Linked DNA regions of Nothobranchius furzeri. The protein of the gene in region 2 interacts with the protein of the main gene of each other region in a pairwise test. Links are inferred from orthologs where the notes say so. Each region holds a gene or a part of one and is shown on either strand. Other genes may lie near its edges. The genes, in order: sf3a3 and tada2a.

Region 1 (8,864 bases), on a different chromosome or scaffold from region 2:
AAAACCGACAGATGCACCTCCACCCGGGTTGCTGCGGTGCCGTTTTAGTTTATAGTTAGAGATGCACCAATGAGTAATCTGAAGACATATGAAAGTAATATCTAAAAAACATTATATTATAATTACAGATGTAATTATTCCCATTTCAGAGACTGGGGCGGGGGCTTGTTGGTTTTGTGCGTGTGTGTGTCTACAAGTCTGAAAATGTGTCACCATCTCCGAAATGTGCCTACGCCAGGTCCAAGTTTGTGTGAAAGCAGCCAGGAGAGAGGGGTGCAGATCCTGTTTCCTGATATTCAGACATCTCTCCTAGGGCTGGGGGTAAACGATTATTTCTAAAACGATTATTCTGACGAATAGTCGACTATTCTAATGACTATTTAGACAATTAATCTAGTGTTTATTCTTCTATTGCACGGTTAATAAAAACCAAAAAACAAACAAATAAATTCCTCTAAAAAATTGATTAATTGTTACTGTAAGAGAATAAACACTACAGGCCTTCCATTTTGTATAAAACTGCTTTTATTGTGTTGCGGTTGGTTATGTTCTGGTGACGTGTAGAACTTGGGAGAGCAGGCTGCTGCCTGAGAGGTGGATGGAGACGGAGAGTCTCCATGCTGCTTTGTTTTGGTCACTTATGTGCGTGAGGCGAGTGGTGTTACGACCCTTCCTGGGGAGTTTGGCTCGTGTGCAAAAAGGAAGGGACAATAACACGGGATTTTAAAGTTAAAATGATGGTCAGGTTTATTTACAACAACAAAAAACATAAACCTTTCCATCCACAGGTTGGGAATAATAAAACTAATTCTGCCTGTGGGGAATTAAAACAAAAGTACAAATAACTAGGGATGTCCCACTGGGCAAATATTACAGGGTTCTGGACCAAAATATGGATCTCCAAAGGTCCAAACTCTAAACTGGGTGGTTAAACCAAACTCAAGGTGATATTTTACACTAAACCGAAAACCCACAACACTCTAAATGTAATAAAAGGAGATCTGCACCACAAAAAAGATGAACTCTAAACCAAAACATAAACGCTCATCCCAACGCAAGAAGCTGTTAGCGAAAATGCTAACAGTAGCTTTACCAACGTTAAGTTCAAGTTACCAAGTTTAAATAAACCAAAAACACCCAGCAGCAAACAGACCAGCGCGGAGGAGAGTCTGCTACCACCAAAACAGCTCTCCTCATGTCTGAAAGAAGCTCCTTTATGAAGGGAGAAACGCTCCCGGTGATTTTCTACATCTGTGGTAGAGACGAAGCAGCGCATCTGACCCCGGAAGTTGTTGTCTGTTGCCGGGAGACGAAGGCGGGCAAAACAGGAAAGGAATATAGCAGCGGACGGACATTGTTCCGGGTCTTCGGTATTTGGCGGAGATGTTAGTGAAGGCGGAGAAGAGGGCGAACTAGAGGAAAACCAGGCAGATTCCTCCTCTATTTACAAACTCCTGGGGATGCAACAAGTGGGCGCGGTGCGTCGACTACCGGATCTGACGGCGACAAATTTTTAGAATCGAGCCGTCGACGTCATCGAGGCTTCGCTACAGATCTAATCTCTCCTAACAGCAACGTGACTATACCACTGACTGTGTGCTTTTGTGTTTCATCTCCACATATAACACAAACCTTGAGAAGTTCTGCTGTGTGGTGGAGTTGCTAATGCTAACAGTTAGCTTCTACTTGCTGAGATGTTCTCTGGCAAGGAGGTAGAGTCACTAGTTGCTCCAGAGTTTTCCTCCCGCTGCTGTTCCCGGTTTGAGAGTCTGACAAAAAGCCACGACTAAACAGAACGTAGAACATCACTACCATGTCCTCCACTGTTGTACTGCGTTTTTGTGTTGTGTGGAGATCCCCTTGTGCTACTTTTCATACTCTGGTCCCAGATTTCTTACCCTCCACACTTCAGTCCCAGAGCCATGAGAGCAGATTTGAGTCGGTCCAGACCCAGCGAGGCCAGCTCCTGTGTGACACAAACAGGTGTGTGAGGAAGCAACCTTCAGTTTTAACTCCAACCAGGAGATTCCGGTTACTTACCTCCCAGGAAGAAAAAGCAGAGAGGTCCAGATGAGCACCGGCGTGAGTCAGAGCACTACTCGTCTCTTTCTAGAGCAAAATCAAAAAGCCAAGCATGTCAGGAGGGATCAGCGAGCCCCATCAGAGCCAGCAGACAGTTCTGGACTTACGGGCCACCCAGGAAAGGTGCCATTGTCCCACTTCTTCTCGAAGTCTCCGAGCACTTTGCTGTAGAGCTCATTCTGGTCCGACAGAGGTTTGACCCGGTCTGTGTAGTCCTGCAGGTACTCAAGCAGCATCTCCAGGTACCTGAACAAAGTCGTGTCATAAGATTTTCTGACCCGTCGAGTCGGACGTGACACCGCAGAGAAAGGCCTACTTTTTATACTCAGCGTTTTTCCTGTCTTTAGGGATGTCAAACAGCTGGTCAAACGAGGTCAGGTAACTGATATAATCCACCTTCTGTAAGACAGGAGCGGCAGTAAGAATACATGGATCCAAATCACACACGTGGACGATGTGAGGATCCCAACCTCGGCTCCCTTCAGGTTGATGTACTTCAGGTAGCAGTCATGGAGATCCAGGTAGCGACCGTATCCCTCCTCGTCAGTGAAATCCACCATGTCTGAGAAAGACACACAAGCATCACTTCAGCCGCAGCTTCTCCCGTCACTCACTCGTTACAAGTAGCCTGGCCTGCCAGGCTCGCCCTCCGTCCACTCTACACAGAGGACGGGTCTGGATCTCAGAGGCAGAGAGCACCACGAGGGGCGGGACTAACCAGCTCAAAAATAACCAGTCAAATAAAAGGCAGAACTGACGACTGTATCGCACAGCGCTCTAGTCAAAGATGGCGTCTGGCAACAGCGTAAACATCTTTCTTTAGAGGAAAGGCTTTTAGTGCTTCTTTTGTGAATTTAAAGACATGTCCAAGTTACTTAGAACAGAGGAAACAGCCACAGCGATCTCCGTTTTAGACGCCATCTTTGTTGTTTATGAGAAACCGAGTGTCAGTGTGTGACGTACGCTGCTTAGCGCTGATTGGCTCAGTTCAAATTCGGAAAGAGGGGGGGGGGGGCTGAATGGGAGCGTCACCAGGCCCTTTGCTTTGGCATGGCTGGCTAGGCTAATGCTCAGGAACACAGCAAAAAGACTAATTACAAGCTGGGATTGACAACCTCAAATAGTTGAATGAGCCTCTATTGCAGGTAGAGAATGAATGAATGAAGTACCAATGAGCTAAAAATTTCCAGATGTTTCATGAGTTTTGGGATGGAAACTGGAAACTAAAAATGGATCAAACCTCAGCTCAGCTAAACCTACGATTAGATTTTAATGTGCACCAACCCATGTTATTTAATCCAGATCTTAATGAACCAAATTAATCTAGTTCTCTGCTCCAAATCCCTCTAATAAAGCGATCTCAGCAGCTTTGGCAGCTCCAGAACCTTCCAGAGTGAGTCGTTTCAAGACTCTGTGGAGCCGGATGGCAGTGGCACTTTCTGAGGCAAAAGCTCGGACATGGGAGAAGCTGTGGAAAAAGACCATCGGTCGGCTCCAAAGAGGTTCTGACAAACTGTCCAGCGCCTCTGGACGGGAAGGCGGCAACTCGCTCACACTTTCTGCAGTGGGGATGGGGAGCTGCTGACGTCAACTGGGGCAACAGTCGGACGGTGGAAGGAATACTTTGAGGAGTTTCTCAATCCCACTGACACGCATTCCAAGGAGGAACAGCCTTGGTTGACCTGGGAACGGACTGTCCGATCTCTAGGGCAGAAGTTACTGAGGTAGTCACACAACTACACAGCAGTGGAGCCTCGGAGGTGGATGAGATTCGTCCTGGGTATCTCACGGCTTTGGATATTGTAGGACTGTCGTGGTTGAGATGTCTCTGAAACATTGCGTGGTCATCAGGGGCAGTTCCTGTGGAGCGGCAGACCGGGGATGGACTCCGCCAGGACTGCCCTTTGTCACTAGTCCTGTTCATAACATTTATGAACAGGATTTCTAGGTGCAGCCGTGGTGTTGAGGGTGTGGAGTTTGGTGGCAGGAGAATCTCATCCCTGCTTTTTGCGGATGTGGTCCTCCTAGCTTCATCAAGCTCGGACCTACAGCTCTTGCTGGGGAGGTTCGCAGCCGAGTGTGATGCAGCTGGGATGAGGATCAGTACCTCCAAATCTGAAACCATGGTTCTCGATCGGAAAAGGTCTGGGCTAAGAAACTCAGACATCCGGGAGGGACTCTGAGTGGAGCCGCAGCTCAACTGGCTCCTCCGCATCGAAAGGAGCCAGTTGAGGTGGTTCGGGCATGTGGTCAGGATGCCTCCTTGACGCCTCCCTCGGGAGGTGTTTGGGCATGTCCTGCCGGCAGGAGGCCCCTGGGTTGACCCAGGACTACCTGGAGGAAATACATCTCTAGGTTGGCCAGAGAATGCCTGGGTGTCCCAGCTGAAGAGCTGGCGGACGTGGCCAGAGAGAGGACTGCCTGGGGGGCCCTACTTGGGATGCTGCCCCAGCAACCCTGACCCCGGATAAGCGGAGGAAGGTGAGGTGTGAGGTGAGGCTCACTCCTGTGAATCTAGGAGGGGCTTGGAGTAGAGCTGTAACTGCTCCAGTCATCAGCCATGTGTGTGTGTGTTTCCTATGCGAATTTAGTGGATTGTTTCAGGCATAATTCCTAAAACCAAACACTGAAAGAAACAAATGGACAGGTCAGGAGTGCTTAGAGAGACCCACATGGCAGCACCACCTTGAAATCTAGCTCAGGGGAATTGTGACACCCACTCTTATCCATTAAACATGGATGAATGGCAAACCTCGTCGAACTTACTCTGAGCCTCCTCGCTGAGATTTTCTTTGGCCTTCATCAACTCTTCAAATTCTGCAGACATGGGGATGGAAATCTACAGAAAATATGAGACAAACAGCAGTGAGACTGCTTCAGGTACACTATACAATCTAATCTGACTGCTCACGATGTCTCTTACTTCATTTGGGTGCTTTCGGTGGAACTCCTTTATCTGCTTTAGTCTGTTGTAGAACTCTGCAAACTCATTTGGTCCAGAGATGGCACCAAGCTCGTCCTTTCTCATGCTGGATGGGAGCAATTTCCATTTTTTATTCAGGTGTTTTCAACACTTAAACACAAGTAAACATAAAACACCAATCCAACGCCTCGCCTTTATCAGATCTGATATGGAAAAAAGAAGGAAATGTTGTATGGAAGAAATACAATCTCATCAGAATGACTTTTTTTAGACATAGAATTTATGAAAAAGAATTTTTATTATGTGTTATTTGAATTTTTTAAAATTTAAAATACATCAGCAAAGATTTCATCCATAAAAATTCAACAACTGAGGTGACCTCTTGGTAAACCAAGCCAAAGCGACCATCGATTAATAGATTCAAGAGGCTTTTAGCCAAGCATATTAGACTTCTCTGATCATGTGACACCAGTTAGATGTCGACTCAATGGAGTGATGTTTACTTTGGCTTGGTTACGTCAGTTGATGTTGAATTTTTGCTGTTGAAATCCTGTTGTTGAATTTTTGAAGATGAAATTCTGCAATTGATGTTTAACAGATTAAAATTTTGCTGGTGTAATTTAAGTAAACAAGTAAATAAATTCAAGTACACGATTTCACAGAATTAAAATTCTAATTAAATGAACGTCTAAAAAATTCAAATTCTGGCAAGGCAGTGTTTCTTCCATAAAGCAGTAGCGAGTGCTCTTTGTATACGCAAAACGATGGTTCGCTGGGCTTTATGCACTCGCCATAATAAAATCATAAATTAATATCACAGACTGACATATTCTCAATGTAACTTATGAATGAGTTTTAATGTTTCCCTTACATCAGAAATATCTCAGCATCATAAGGAAGTCGTTTAGATGGTATCATTAAATGATAGCATTTAAATGCCATCTTCCTCTTTGCCTCCATCTGACCACTTCTTTTGAATGTTTTTTTTCTTTTTATATTCACCACAGATCTCTCATCACTCTGACAGAATCCGCCGCCATACCAAACGCTGTACCACTCAAAGACAATAAAAAGATTTTCCATGCCCTACCTCACCCACAAGCACCTCGATTTCAAGCTCAGTGAAACAGGCGTTTTTCGCTGTTGCCATGGTTTCCACATGAAAATCCACAGGTTGGCTGGCTTATGTATATCCAGAATATTGATGAAGTGATTTGCACTGACCATAATGGTAGCAGTGGGTGTGCGGGAGGCGGGATGTGATCCAAAATCACCTGAACACATTTCTAGGTAGAGTTAGATAAAGCAGGAATTGTGTACAGCTATATGTACGCAGTGTTTTATGGGTCCAATTTTTTATTTCTGCAAGTAAATTTTTTTAGTAAAGGATCCAAACAAAGTTTTATAAATAGAGCCATTGGACTTTAATATTTAATATATTTAATAAAAGAAGTAGCAACAAAAGCCGTGGAATGGGATACCAACGCTTCTGATAGGCCAGAATAAAAATGTAATTATATATTTAGATTTTTTTTACTGTCAGGAAAACAAACCTGAGTAAACAATGGGTAACAGAAAGAGACAACAGCTTAACTCTAACAAGCAAAAAAAAAAAGTACATTGAATATATTTAAAAAAATTAAAACGTACCCATCTTTGTCTTCATAAGAGTCCCTGAGATTTGCACTCACTTCCATATACCTCTGTGAGGAGACACAGAACATGACAACAGATGACATTAAACTAGCCAACACTGACTCACTGTTAGATCATCATGGTAATAGACTTGGCTCTAAATTACCATGGTAACACATAGCTTGACAACACCTAGCTCTAGAATACTATTTAAAGTGAGGGTCAATGCCTGGTTGGAGACGCATTTCATCCACATTTCCTGTTAGAAAAACGCTTCTGAAAGAGGCGTCACCTGGCGAACCGGGAGAGCGGCACTGAGGCAGTGGTAGACCGCACCCCCCTCAACCCCTCCGCGTGTGCTGTCGGAGTTTCTCAATCTAAAAACGAGTTGTTAACTAGCGCAGGCACACTCGCGCGTGCATGCAAGCATGCACTCACACAAGACTTACCGCTCAGGAAAAAAAAAGCAGACACAGATTCTGCAGCATTCTGGAGGATTTCCTTTTAACCACGATCATTAGATGAAAAGGGGAGGAGGGCATTACGCACATAGGGGTTGGGGCGCTCCGAGCACCCCAACCCCTATGTGCATAATGCCCTCCGGATCTAAGACTTTGGGTTAAGCTGTGTGTGAGATCAGTTGACAAATTCTGCTTCTTAGAATCTCCAGGTAGAAATATCAGACTGATTCAGATGTCATCATAGTTCTGTTAGATCTGAGAAGATCTAAATAAACATCAGATTGTTAAATAAAGCACATTACCTTTAGAAGCAACCAGCACACTGCACTGAGCTGATCAAGTATTTTATTCAACCACGACATACGCTTTCATTCAGGATCATGTTTAAATGTGATTCTTAAAATTATTTAAAACATTTTAAAAATCAACCTATGGAGGTCTGATCCCACCAAAATTGACAATAACTGGTTATAAAATTGAAAGTACATATAGAAATACATGATGCAATTATTAGGTGGGCTATTAGTATGAGTGTCTGCCCTGGGACTGGGATATCGGGATTCAAATCCACGGTCGAGTCACACCTAAGATTCGAAAAACAGGAACCAATGCCTCCTTGCTTGGCACTAAGCTTTAAAGGGTTGGATCGGGGGTTAAACCACCAAATAGCTCCCGAGTGCTGCCGTGTCTCCAACAACCTTTGGAGGACTGCCGGGGGTGGGTCAAATGCAGAGAACAATGTCACACATCAGTGTGACAACTAGTGGGACTTTAACTTTAATTCACCTCATCACCATATACCACAGGAAGTGTGAGGAATATAAATGAAGAAATGTATTAAAAAAATAGATGTGGAAATTAATAATTGTATTCATTTAACTCCAAGTGTGTTATCTTCAATTGTATTTCCTCATTTATTGAATTACTTTTTTTTTTTGCCCTTTCTTAATTTAATGTAAGCGTTGGCAGGATCAATCCTCCCTCTGTACCACCTGTTGGGTTTTGTGTATGAAGTCTGGATGTGTCAGTAAAGCCCTCTGGTTTCACTGCATTTTAATGAGGAGAACTTCAGATTAAAAGAGCAGCAGTGATCAACCTGAGGTTTTGATTTACTTCTCTAAACGTTTGGATACTATTAGTGAAAATTCAGTGAAAGTCCCCTGCGATGGGCTGGCACTCTGTCCAGGGTGTACCCCGCCTGATTGCCCATTGACCGCTGGAGATGGGCACCAGTCCCCCCCCCCCCGCGACCCTACGTGGCCAAGCGGGTTCAGACGATGGATGGATGGATGGTGAAAATTCACCAAAGTTACACTAAAAGTGAATGACGACCAAGGCAGGAACCAAGCATTACAGGTAACTCAATAAAAATAAAAGCAACTTTACCCAACAACAAATAAGCTTTATTTTCTGATATAACTTCTATATTACATTTAACAAATCAGAACAACATCGATTGCAATGATTCATAAAATTCAGATCTTAAGCACAATGATTGTTATTGACTCTATTACTTAACACGACGGAAAAAACTACACCACCAAACAACATTTAGCTCACTGGTGGAAGAGCAGCATTTCATACTTACATCCAACATGGCTCTTATTCGATGATCACAATTAATTTGATCCCGCAGCTGAAACAAGAGTCGAAAACAAATACGTGAACATTGCGTTGGTGTTAGCAACATGCTAATGCTAAAAGCTGCGCTGCTTACCGTGGTCTTTTTGTGCAACATTTCTTTAGTTTTTGCGTCCATCAGC
Region 2 (8,864 bases):
TCGCAAGAGCCAATAACCACTCACTGGTGAACAGTTAAAGTAATAACAGGTGCACATAAACAAACAGGTAACTTTTTAACCTTCTTCCCAAATAAATTGTCCTTCGAAAACAGTCCAATTCAAGCTAGCTAACACCAGATACGACAATGTATTTATCCACCTATCAGCTTCCTGTGTACGACTCACCTTTACTTGTCATCTAGAATCTTCTGGTGCTGATCCGTGGCGGGAAACAGCCTTGAAACCCAAAATCAGTAGTGAAAAAGTGAGTTGTTAAGGGCTGCAGTTACAAAGTTAGACCACAGGATGTCGTAGTTACTTCAGGCTTCATCACAGAACTTTTGAATGGCCTGTATTTGATAAAGCGCCTTCTAGAGTCCTGGAACCCCCCAAGGCGCTTTACAACACAATCAGTCATTCACCCATTCACACACCCATTCACACACGGGTGGGGATGAGCTACGATGTAGCCACAGCTGCCCTGGGGCGCACTGACAGAGGCGAGGCTGCCGAGCACTGGCGCCACCGGACCCTCCGACCACCACCAGCAGGCAGCGTGGGTTAAGTGTCTTGCCCAAGGACACAACGACAGCAACAGACTGAGTGGGACTCGAACCTGCAACCTTTTGATTACGGGGCGAGCACTTAACTCCTGTGCCATCGTCGCCCCACACTTTTCAAAGGTCTCGGGTCATTTCTGATTTGTGTAGCTTTTAAGCAGCCAGGTGTTCCGAATTTAAGTTCTCCAGGTTTACCAGTTAAGTGTGAAAGTGACCCGGCAGAGAGTCGGACCCTCCACCTGTCAGAGCAGGTCGGTTCTGGTGTTGCTCGCATGCAGCGGGTAGATTTAAGCTTCCTGGTCATTAATGTGTTAAAGAGGAAGTTTGATTTTGGTTTTCCTCTGATCCCGCAGCCTCCGACGACCCGCCCCGGCCCACGTTCGACTCCATGCTGTCTCGGGACATGGCGGGCTACATGCCGGCCAGAGCGGACTTCATGGAGGTGTGTGTGTGTGTGTGTGTGTGTGTGTGTGTGCGTGTGTGTGACCTGCAAGAATAAACCATCAGAGTCGCCACTAGGGGGCTGGAGATGAACCCTCATTGAAACAGTGACTCATACCTTTGTTGTTGCCTCTCTGAGACCCGTTTCTCATAAATTGTTGATCGTCGCTCGGTGCAGACGAGCAGATTGTGAAAACCCTTTTCATGTCTCTCTCAGGAGTTCGACAACTATGCAGAATGGGACCTGAAGGACATTGACTTTGTGGACGATGACTCAGATATCCTGCGTGGTGCGTAGGACTTTTGTTTTTAGTATTTTTATTTTTCCGTCTGATTGACCTTCAGGTGGCTGACTTTACTTTTCCATGTGGTGTTTGCTTCTCTCACAGCCCTCAAGCTCGCTGTCGTTGATATTTATCATTCAAGATTAAAAGAGAGACAAAGAAGGAAGAAGTGGGTGAATTGTATTATTTGTGATAGAAGAAAGTACTCATTAACCTGTAATAACCTCCATCTTTCAGCAGATGGCGCCATACGCCTGAGAAATCACCCCCAGGTCTCTTAAGCTCTCTGGTTTAATTAATGACATTTATGCTCATTCTAAAGTACAAAGCAAACAGTTTCGTCTCCCTCTGAGCTCAGCTCCAACATTAATGATGCTGATGTGTTTATATCACCTAAAGAGGTGTTTGTTTTGTTAAAAGCTCATTTAGGACCAACGTCCTGCGAGGCTGTGCTAGCCAGAATCAGTTTCTTCAGTCGCTACAGAACACGGAGTGGTTCACGCTCAGCTGGTGGTCATTTTTAGAAAGAAGGAAATTGTGTCACTTTGTAAAAAGTCCCATAGAATGTTCTCCGTGTTGGAGGGAAAAGATTTCAACTCCCAGAGACCGAGGATGTTTTCTTTTAAACGACAGCCATCAGAAAACCCTCACACAGCTGTTTGAGTGTGCCCATCAAAAACGGTTTTCCTGAGAGTTTTTACTCTCCAGCAACCAAAGTTAAATCAGTCAAGTCAGCGTTTTCTGAAACTGTGGCCCTCAGGCTGGGATCGCTGGACCTCCAGGGGACCACCAGCCTTAAAAGGGCATTATGGAAGTGTGACAGCCAAAACATGTATAGAAATAATAAATGTCTTCTTCATACATTCTCCTGCAATGCCCTGGTCCTGTAGAATGAGCCCTGGCATTTTTACTGTGATTGCCTGTTTTTCTGTAAAATCACAGAAAAAGAGAGATGCTCGGGTCGAGCAGGCTGCTTCATGCGCGTTCACGCTCAGGCATCGCCCGTAGCATTTGCTATCTGTAGCTTTAGCAGCAGAGAGAGAGGCAGTGCCACTTTGTCGCTGTTCCTAACGCCTAGTGACAAAGCTAGCTACATTTCTGAGGACCCTTAGCTACTTTCTGTAGAACTTTCTTCTAGATATTTCCTGCAAATTAGCAACAAAACAGCCATTTTCACTCCGAACCGTTCTTTGAACATTGTTTCAGCTGTCATCAAGGATATAAATGTTACAGATACCAAGGACGTCACTGGAGACAGCTCACCTAGTAAGACATCGGACTCTCGTGTAGAAGACCTGGGTTTGATTCTGGATGTGAACACAGTTTATTTAAAGTTCATTTTTTACATTAATTGTATTTTTTTTTACAGTAAGAGGCCCAAATTTTTATTTGAGACTTGCCGAACGGCATTGAATTCACAGATAAAAAAGATCTGGGTTCAAATTTCATTTTGGAACAATTTTTCAAGCAAGGGAAGGGAATGATCTGAGCATGCAGGAGGACTGACCCATCTTAAACCTTTGTCGGCTGTGCTGAAGAGAAAGGTACAGAACCACATTATTTAATTAATTAGCTGCGTGTTCTCCTGTCCTCCGGGCCACACACACACACACACACACACACACACACACACACACACACACACACACACACACACACATGGGGCTGTCTCACCTGTTATTTTTGTTAAGGAGTGTGCACGTACAGCTTGTGCGCCTCGTGCACGAGCCTCCTATTGAAGCTGCAGTTATGCTTTTGGCCTGAGGGGGCAATCGCGAGCATAAAAATTCAAAACTCCATAAAGTCCCTTTAAGTTGTGGGTCTGTGGGACCTGAAGCTTGTCCTGGGGTGGACACATGCAGTGGTGTGAAAAACTATTTGCCCCCTTCCTGATTTCTTATTCTTTTGCATGTTTGTCACACAAAATGTTTCTGATCATCAAACACATTTAACCGTTAGTCAAAGATAACACAAGTAAACACAAAAAGCAGTTTTGAAATGATGGTTTTTATTATTTAGGGAGAGAACGAGATCCAAACCTACATTGCCCTGTGTTGAAAAAGTAATGGCCCCCCCTTTTTAAAAAATAACCCAACTGTGGTGTTTCACACCTGAGGTCAATTTCTGTAGCCACCCCCAAGCCTGATTGGGTGTGGTTAAAATATTCTGCATGTGACCATATTATGGTGGTTCTTGGGTCGTGATGATGGGGCCCTTGAATATTGTTGCCCAGGGTACAACAGAGTGTTAATCTGGCCCTGGCTGCAGTGAAGCTTCATCAGGTTAATAATGGGATTAAAGTGGTTTCAGATGATTGGTTCAGATGTAAAACGATCCTGGTGGCTGCATCAGCCTCTGCGTTATTAAGAAGTATAATAAAATAATAATAAAAGAGACACCTGCTAGTGTGAGACAGGAACATCCACCAGCGTCTCACCTCCACAGCCCTAAAACCATCACAGGCCATTTAACAGAGAGCAGGACCTAAAACTCCATGTTTGTCTCTTTCAGGATCATCCGGGACCATGGTCTGATCAACCTCCGCAAGTTTCAGAGTAAGAACCCCCCCCCCCCCCCAACCTCCCTCTAACGCGGATCAGCTGGTGGGTGGAGGGGGTGGGGGGCGCAAATGGTTCAGCTGTAATAACCTTCATCCACCACAGCAGCCGTTAGAGGTCTTGCATGGGGGGGGGGGGGGGGGGGGGGGGCACTGCCTAGCTGCTGTTTGATTAGTGTTGCTGCGGTAACGGCTCAAATGGGTGGGGGGGGGGGGCGATGCACCTGCTGGATCTCTAACCATTCCTCTGCACCTCTGGGTTTTTTATGAGTCATCGAAGGCTGCTGCTGCAGAAGGATTTTGTCCAATTACAGTGTCTCATCTCCCCCCCCCCCCCCCCCCCCACACACACACACACCAGCCCCACCTGTTGCTCTGAGAAGCAGTCCTCTCTTCTGCCCTGTTTTAATAGATGCTTCCTTCAGCCAACATTTCCCACAGCCCTCCGGCGTTCTGAAGACAAAAGAGGACTACGATTGCAAACTGGTTGTCATGGCGACTGTCAAAAGTCTGTTTGTGTGTGTGTGTTTGTAATCATGCGTGTGTGATCGTGTGTGCATCACGTGTAATAACAGCACCTGAGCCTGGGAGGCTCTGTATCGTGTCTGTGCTGCAGGAGGTGCAGCGGCCGGGAGATTCTGGCGGCTATCAGGCCACATCGAGGTGCTGAGTCTCCATCTCCATGGAGACGTGAATAACTTTGTGTGTGTGTGTGTGAGGGGGGGGGGGGGGGGGGGGGAGTCTGCTGTTTGGAGCCCGGCTTCAGCCTGAGATGGCAGCTGCTAATTAGAGCTCAGATGCTGAAGTCTCCTGGTTGTAACAGGAGTGACAGTTCAACACCCGGCTGTTACCCGGCAACACGAGAGAAGCTTTAAGACAGCGTGTGTGTGTGTGTGTGTGTGTTGAGATCTGTGTGTGATCAGGTGTTTGAATAAAAATGGAGGATTTTTATCCCCAGTTCTGTCGGCACTGCAGCCGTGAGCGATGACGTCAGCAGGGAGGAGATAACAGGAAGTGGCGTGTTCTACTAGGGCTATACTGCTCAGTCCAGAAATAAATCCTGCCAATCATTTTAGGAAATGCTAAATCCACTTTTTTGATGCTGGACATGGGTTTGACTCCCAGTGATTCAACAAACTTTTTTTTTTTCCCAGATTTGAACGTCTTTACCGTCTCTGTCAAGTGGAAAGTAATATTTCTCTCAAAACCAGGAGAATAAAGATTAAAATGTGTAATCTGAGGAGACAGAAGCTAAGTAGCAAAGATGTTCCTGCTGTGCCGAGGAAACATATTTGCTCTTAACACCGGAGCGTTTCCTAGGTTGTTCTACTGGAGAGCAGAGTCCGTGGTTCCGTCAGTAGCAGGAAGTGTTCCTGAAGCAGCAGAGCAGCCCCAGACCATCACACTACTACCACCATGTCTGGCTGTTGCTATAGTGATGGTTGGGTTGACTCCAGATGGAACTGGACATCCAGAAAAGTCTTGGATCATTGGGGTTTTGGCCTTGGAGCGCTCTCACAGACGACATTTTTGCTCCTTGTTTCCTTTTTTGTTTTTGACTTGTGACCTCTGACCTTACTTTAGAATGAGCTGGTTTTGTGATGATGAGTGGGTCGTGCCGTGCTGCTTTGTGGGGTTGTTTAGCCTGCTTCCTGATGGAGGCGTGGAACTGAACTCTGCTTCATTAATAATCTTGTCTTTAATGCCAGCTAACGAGGGGGACGGTGACCGATCCACGCGTGTCCCGGTCGGTTTGGACTCACTCCTGTCCTCTTTTGGTTGTCAGTGCTGGAGCGATGCTACCCGAAGGAGGTGCAGGAGCTGTATGACATCATGAGGAGGTTTGCAAGAGTGGTGGGGCCGGTCGAGCATGACAAATTCATCGAAAGTCACGCGCGTGAGTATCTGGTTGCCATGGTTACCACCACTGGTCAGCAGGCCGTTTTCACGTAGCTTCGGCTGAATGTCGATGAGCTCGGTGGACCTCCACCTCACTCGTTCCCTCTGAAGCTGCTTTCATCTGCCAGCAGGCAGGAATCAGGCGTGACATGTTGCGCAGCCGTGTTGGTGTGGCGTGTTCCAGCTCAGCCTTTCACGCCTCCATCGATTCAGCCGTGTGACGGCGTGCGGCTCCGTCCAGCCGCCTGCTGCAGGTGTTGCAGGGCTGGAGGCTTGCTTGCTGCTTTCTTTCTCATTTCCAGTTCTGCTAATGTAGTTTGCGATTTCATAGATGCCACTCTGCTTTATTTAACCTGAACAGTTGCTAGGCAACCAGCTCTGACCCCAGAAAAATCTCTTTGTTGTGGTGTAAAAATCCAGTCTTTACCCTTTGCACTCGGGGTCTTTAGATGGTTTTAGTGTCAGGCTAGAGGAAGTTCTCTGATGCTTCTCATCGTGACGATCTGCAGCAGCGGCGACCCGATCCACATTAAACCTTCAACACTCTTGTCGTTCCAGTGGAGTTTGAGTTGAGGAGAGAGATCCGCCGGCTGCAGGAATACAGGAAAGCAGGGATCAAGTCGTTCTGCAGTGAGTTGAACTTTGACCTTTACCTTCAACGTTTCAGCAGCACTTTTCTGAAGGCCTGCGTAAACCTGAGGAATTAGGTCACAGTCATGCATTTACGTCTCCGTTCCGTCTGCATCAGGCGCTAAAGTGTACGAGCGGGTGAAGCGGATGCGCGAGGACGAGCGCAGGAAGAGGACCATGTTGTGTGACGTCCTTCAGTACATCCAAGATGGAAAAGCCTGCCAGCAGTGGCTCAGCAAGCAGGCCGCCATGTAAGAGCTTAACAGCTGGGCTTACCGGAGATGACTAAACGTCATGTTTCCACCTCACTCTGACGTACGTGTTTGGCTCTGGTTAACGTGCCGCCGCAGCGGCTCCCGTTTGGCTTTTATCTGAGGCGTTTTCCTGCCTGTTGTCCCAAAAATCCATAAAACTGCAATGATTCATGTTTTTGGATGAGAATCTGGAGCAAGAAGAGTGAACAAAGCCTTGAGTGGGTGGGTGGGTGAGTGAGTGAGTGAGTGAGTGAGTGAGTGAGTGAGTGAGTGAGTGGGTGGGTGGGTGGGTGGGTGAGTGAGTGGGTGGGTGGGTGAGTGAGTGAGTGAGTGTGGGTGAGTGAGTGGGTGAGTGAGTGAGTGAGTGAGTGGGTGAGTGAGTGGGTGAGTGAGTGAGTGAGTGAGTGGGTGGGTGGGTGAGTGAGTGAGTGAGTGTGGGTGAGTGAGTGGGTGAGTGAGTGAGTGAGTGAGTGGGTGAGTGAGTGAGTGAGTGAGTGGGTGGGTGGGTGAGTGAGTGAGTGAGTGTGGGTGAGTGAGTGGGTGAGTGAGTGAGTGAGTGAGTGGGTGAGTGAGTGAGTGAGTGAGTGGGTGGGTGGGTGAGTGAGTGAGTGGGTGGGTGGGTGAGTGAGTGAGTGAGTGAGTGAGTGGGTGGGTGGGTGAGTGAGTGAGTGGGTGGGTGAGTGAGTGAGTGAGTGAGTGAGTGGGTGAGTGAGTGAGTGAGTGAGTGAGTGAGTGAGTGAGTGAGTGAGTGAGTGGGTGGGTGGGTGAGTGAGTGAGTGAGTGAGTGAGTGAGTGAGTGAGTGAGCGAGCGAGAGTGGGTGAGTGAGTGAGTGAGTGAGTGAGTGAGTGGGTGAGTGAGTGAGTGGGTGAGTGAGTGGGTGGGTGGGTGGGTGAGTGAGTGAGTGAGTGAGTGGGTGAATGAGTGAGTGAGTGAGTGAGTAAGCGAGCGAGAGTGGGTGAGTGAGTGAGTGGGTGAGTGAGTGAGTGGGTGAGTGGGTGAGTGAGTGAGTGAGTGAGTGGGTGGGTGAGTGGGTGAGTGAGTGAGTGGGTGGGTGAGTGAGTGAGTGAGTGAGTGAGTGAGTGAGTGAGTGAGTGGGTGGGTGGGTGGGTGAGTGAGTGAGTGAGTGAGTGAGTGAGTGAGTGGGTGAGTGAGTGAGTGAGTGAGTGAGTGAGTGAGTGAGTGAGTGGGTGGGTGGGTGGGTGGGTGAGTGGGTGGGTGGGTGGGTGGGTGAGTGAGTGAGTGAGTGAGTGAGTGAGTGAGTGAGTGAGTGAGTGGGTGGGTGGGTGGGTGAGTGAGTGAGTGAGTGGGTGGGTGGGTGGGTGGGTGGGTGAGTGAGTGAGTGAGTGAGTGAGTGAGAACGTGGCAGCAGATAATAATACTTTTCTGTCTCATTACAGAGATGCGGGTGTCACTCCAGCTGTCACAACGATCACGGTATCGGGTACGAAGTTTCTCTTCTCCTCGTGCTCCGCTCTGTCTGTCTGACTTCAGTTGCTACAACGTTTTGTTCACACGTGGAAACTGGAGCCCAGGAGTAGAGCCCTAGGCCCGCGGGTCGGCCCGGCCCGACGCCCCGAGGGCCGGGCTTTGGGCCAACGACTGTGTAATTACCTCGGACACGGGCCGGGCCGGGCGCCTTTATTTTTAATCGAATTCATAAAAAACAAAACTGAAACACTTGAACGCAGCAGCACCTGCCTGCTTCTCACGCACCGTCAGCTCAGTTCAGGTCTGTGTGGTTTATAATATAAACAAATTCTCAAACTGCTGATTGAAACATGTGCCCCTATTCTAATACGCCGTTTTATGTCCACTCTGATGTCAGAAACCGTTCGTTTATTCTCATGAAAACGGCAGCATTCCATTTTTCTGTGAATAAATTCGCTCTGCAGTTAGAAAAAAACAGCATTCACTGCTGTTTTTTTCTAACTGCGCATTTTCAGAGCGGCAGATTAAATTTACAAACGCATCCAATTAATATAGTGTTCGTAAATTTCATCTGCCGCTCGAAAAATACGCTCTGTTAGAAAAAAGCTGCATTGATGCTGTTTTTCTTTCTTTATTTATTTTTTACTGCAGAACGCTTCTCACAGATTATTAGAACGCGGAGCATTCTATCACGCTAAAACATTATGAAAGGTTAAAAAAAAGTCGGGCTCGGGTCAGGCCAGAGATTCCTGAAAACCTTTTCGGACCGGGTCGGGCTGGGGCTCCACCCCCTCGGAACGGGCCGGACAC

The links.
Region 1: the proteins of tada2a (region 2) and sf3a3 interact in binary tests that used the Homo sapiens proteins (3 or more experiments, as listed by UniProt). The two-hybrid records come from large-scale screens. The link is inferred for Nothobranchius furzeri from reciprocal best matches to the Homo sapiens genes TADA2A and SF3A3.

What each region holds. Positions count from the first base shown.
Region 1 is NC_091751.1:25,498,440-25,507,303, reverse strand, and holds part of sf3a3 (splicing factor 3A subunit 3), read right to left. Parts: coding exon 8,819-8,864; intron 8,738-8,818; coding exon 8,690-8,737; intron 6,709-8,689; coding exon 6,656-6,708; intron 5,112-6,655; coding exon 5,006-5,111; intron 4,922-5,005; coding exon 4,849-4,921; intron 2,645-4,848; coding exon 2,553-2,644; intron 2,482-2,552; coding exon 2,399-2,481; intron 2,329-2,398; coding exon 2,190-2,328; intron 2,110-2,189; coding exon 2,041-2,109; intron 1,967-2,040; coding exon 1,899-1,966; intron 1-1,898. UniProt on the Homo sapiens protein: Component of the 17S U2 SnRNP complex of the spliceosome, a large ribonucleoprotein complex that removes introns from transcribed pre-mRNAs.
Region 2 is NC_091753.1:55,050,960-55,059,823, forward strand, and holds part of tada2a (transcriptional adapter 2-alpha), read left to right. Parts: intron 1-913; coding exon 914-1,002; intron 1,003-1,218; coding exon 1,219-1,291; intron 1,292-1,390; coding exon 1,391-1,454; intron 1,455-3,796; coding exon 3,797-3,840; intron 3,841-5,628; coding exon 5,629-5,739; intron 5,740-6,299; coding exon 6,300-6,371; intron 6,372-6,489; coding exon 6,490-6,622; intron 6,623-8,023; coding exon 8,024-8,067; intron 8,068-8,864. UniProt on the Homo sapiens protein: Component of the ATAC complex, a complex with histone acetyltransferase activity on histones H3 and H4. Required for the function of some acidic activation domains, which activate transcription from a distant site. Binds double-stranded DNA.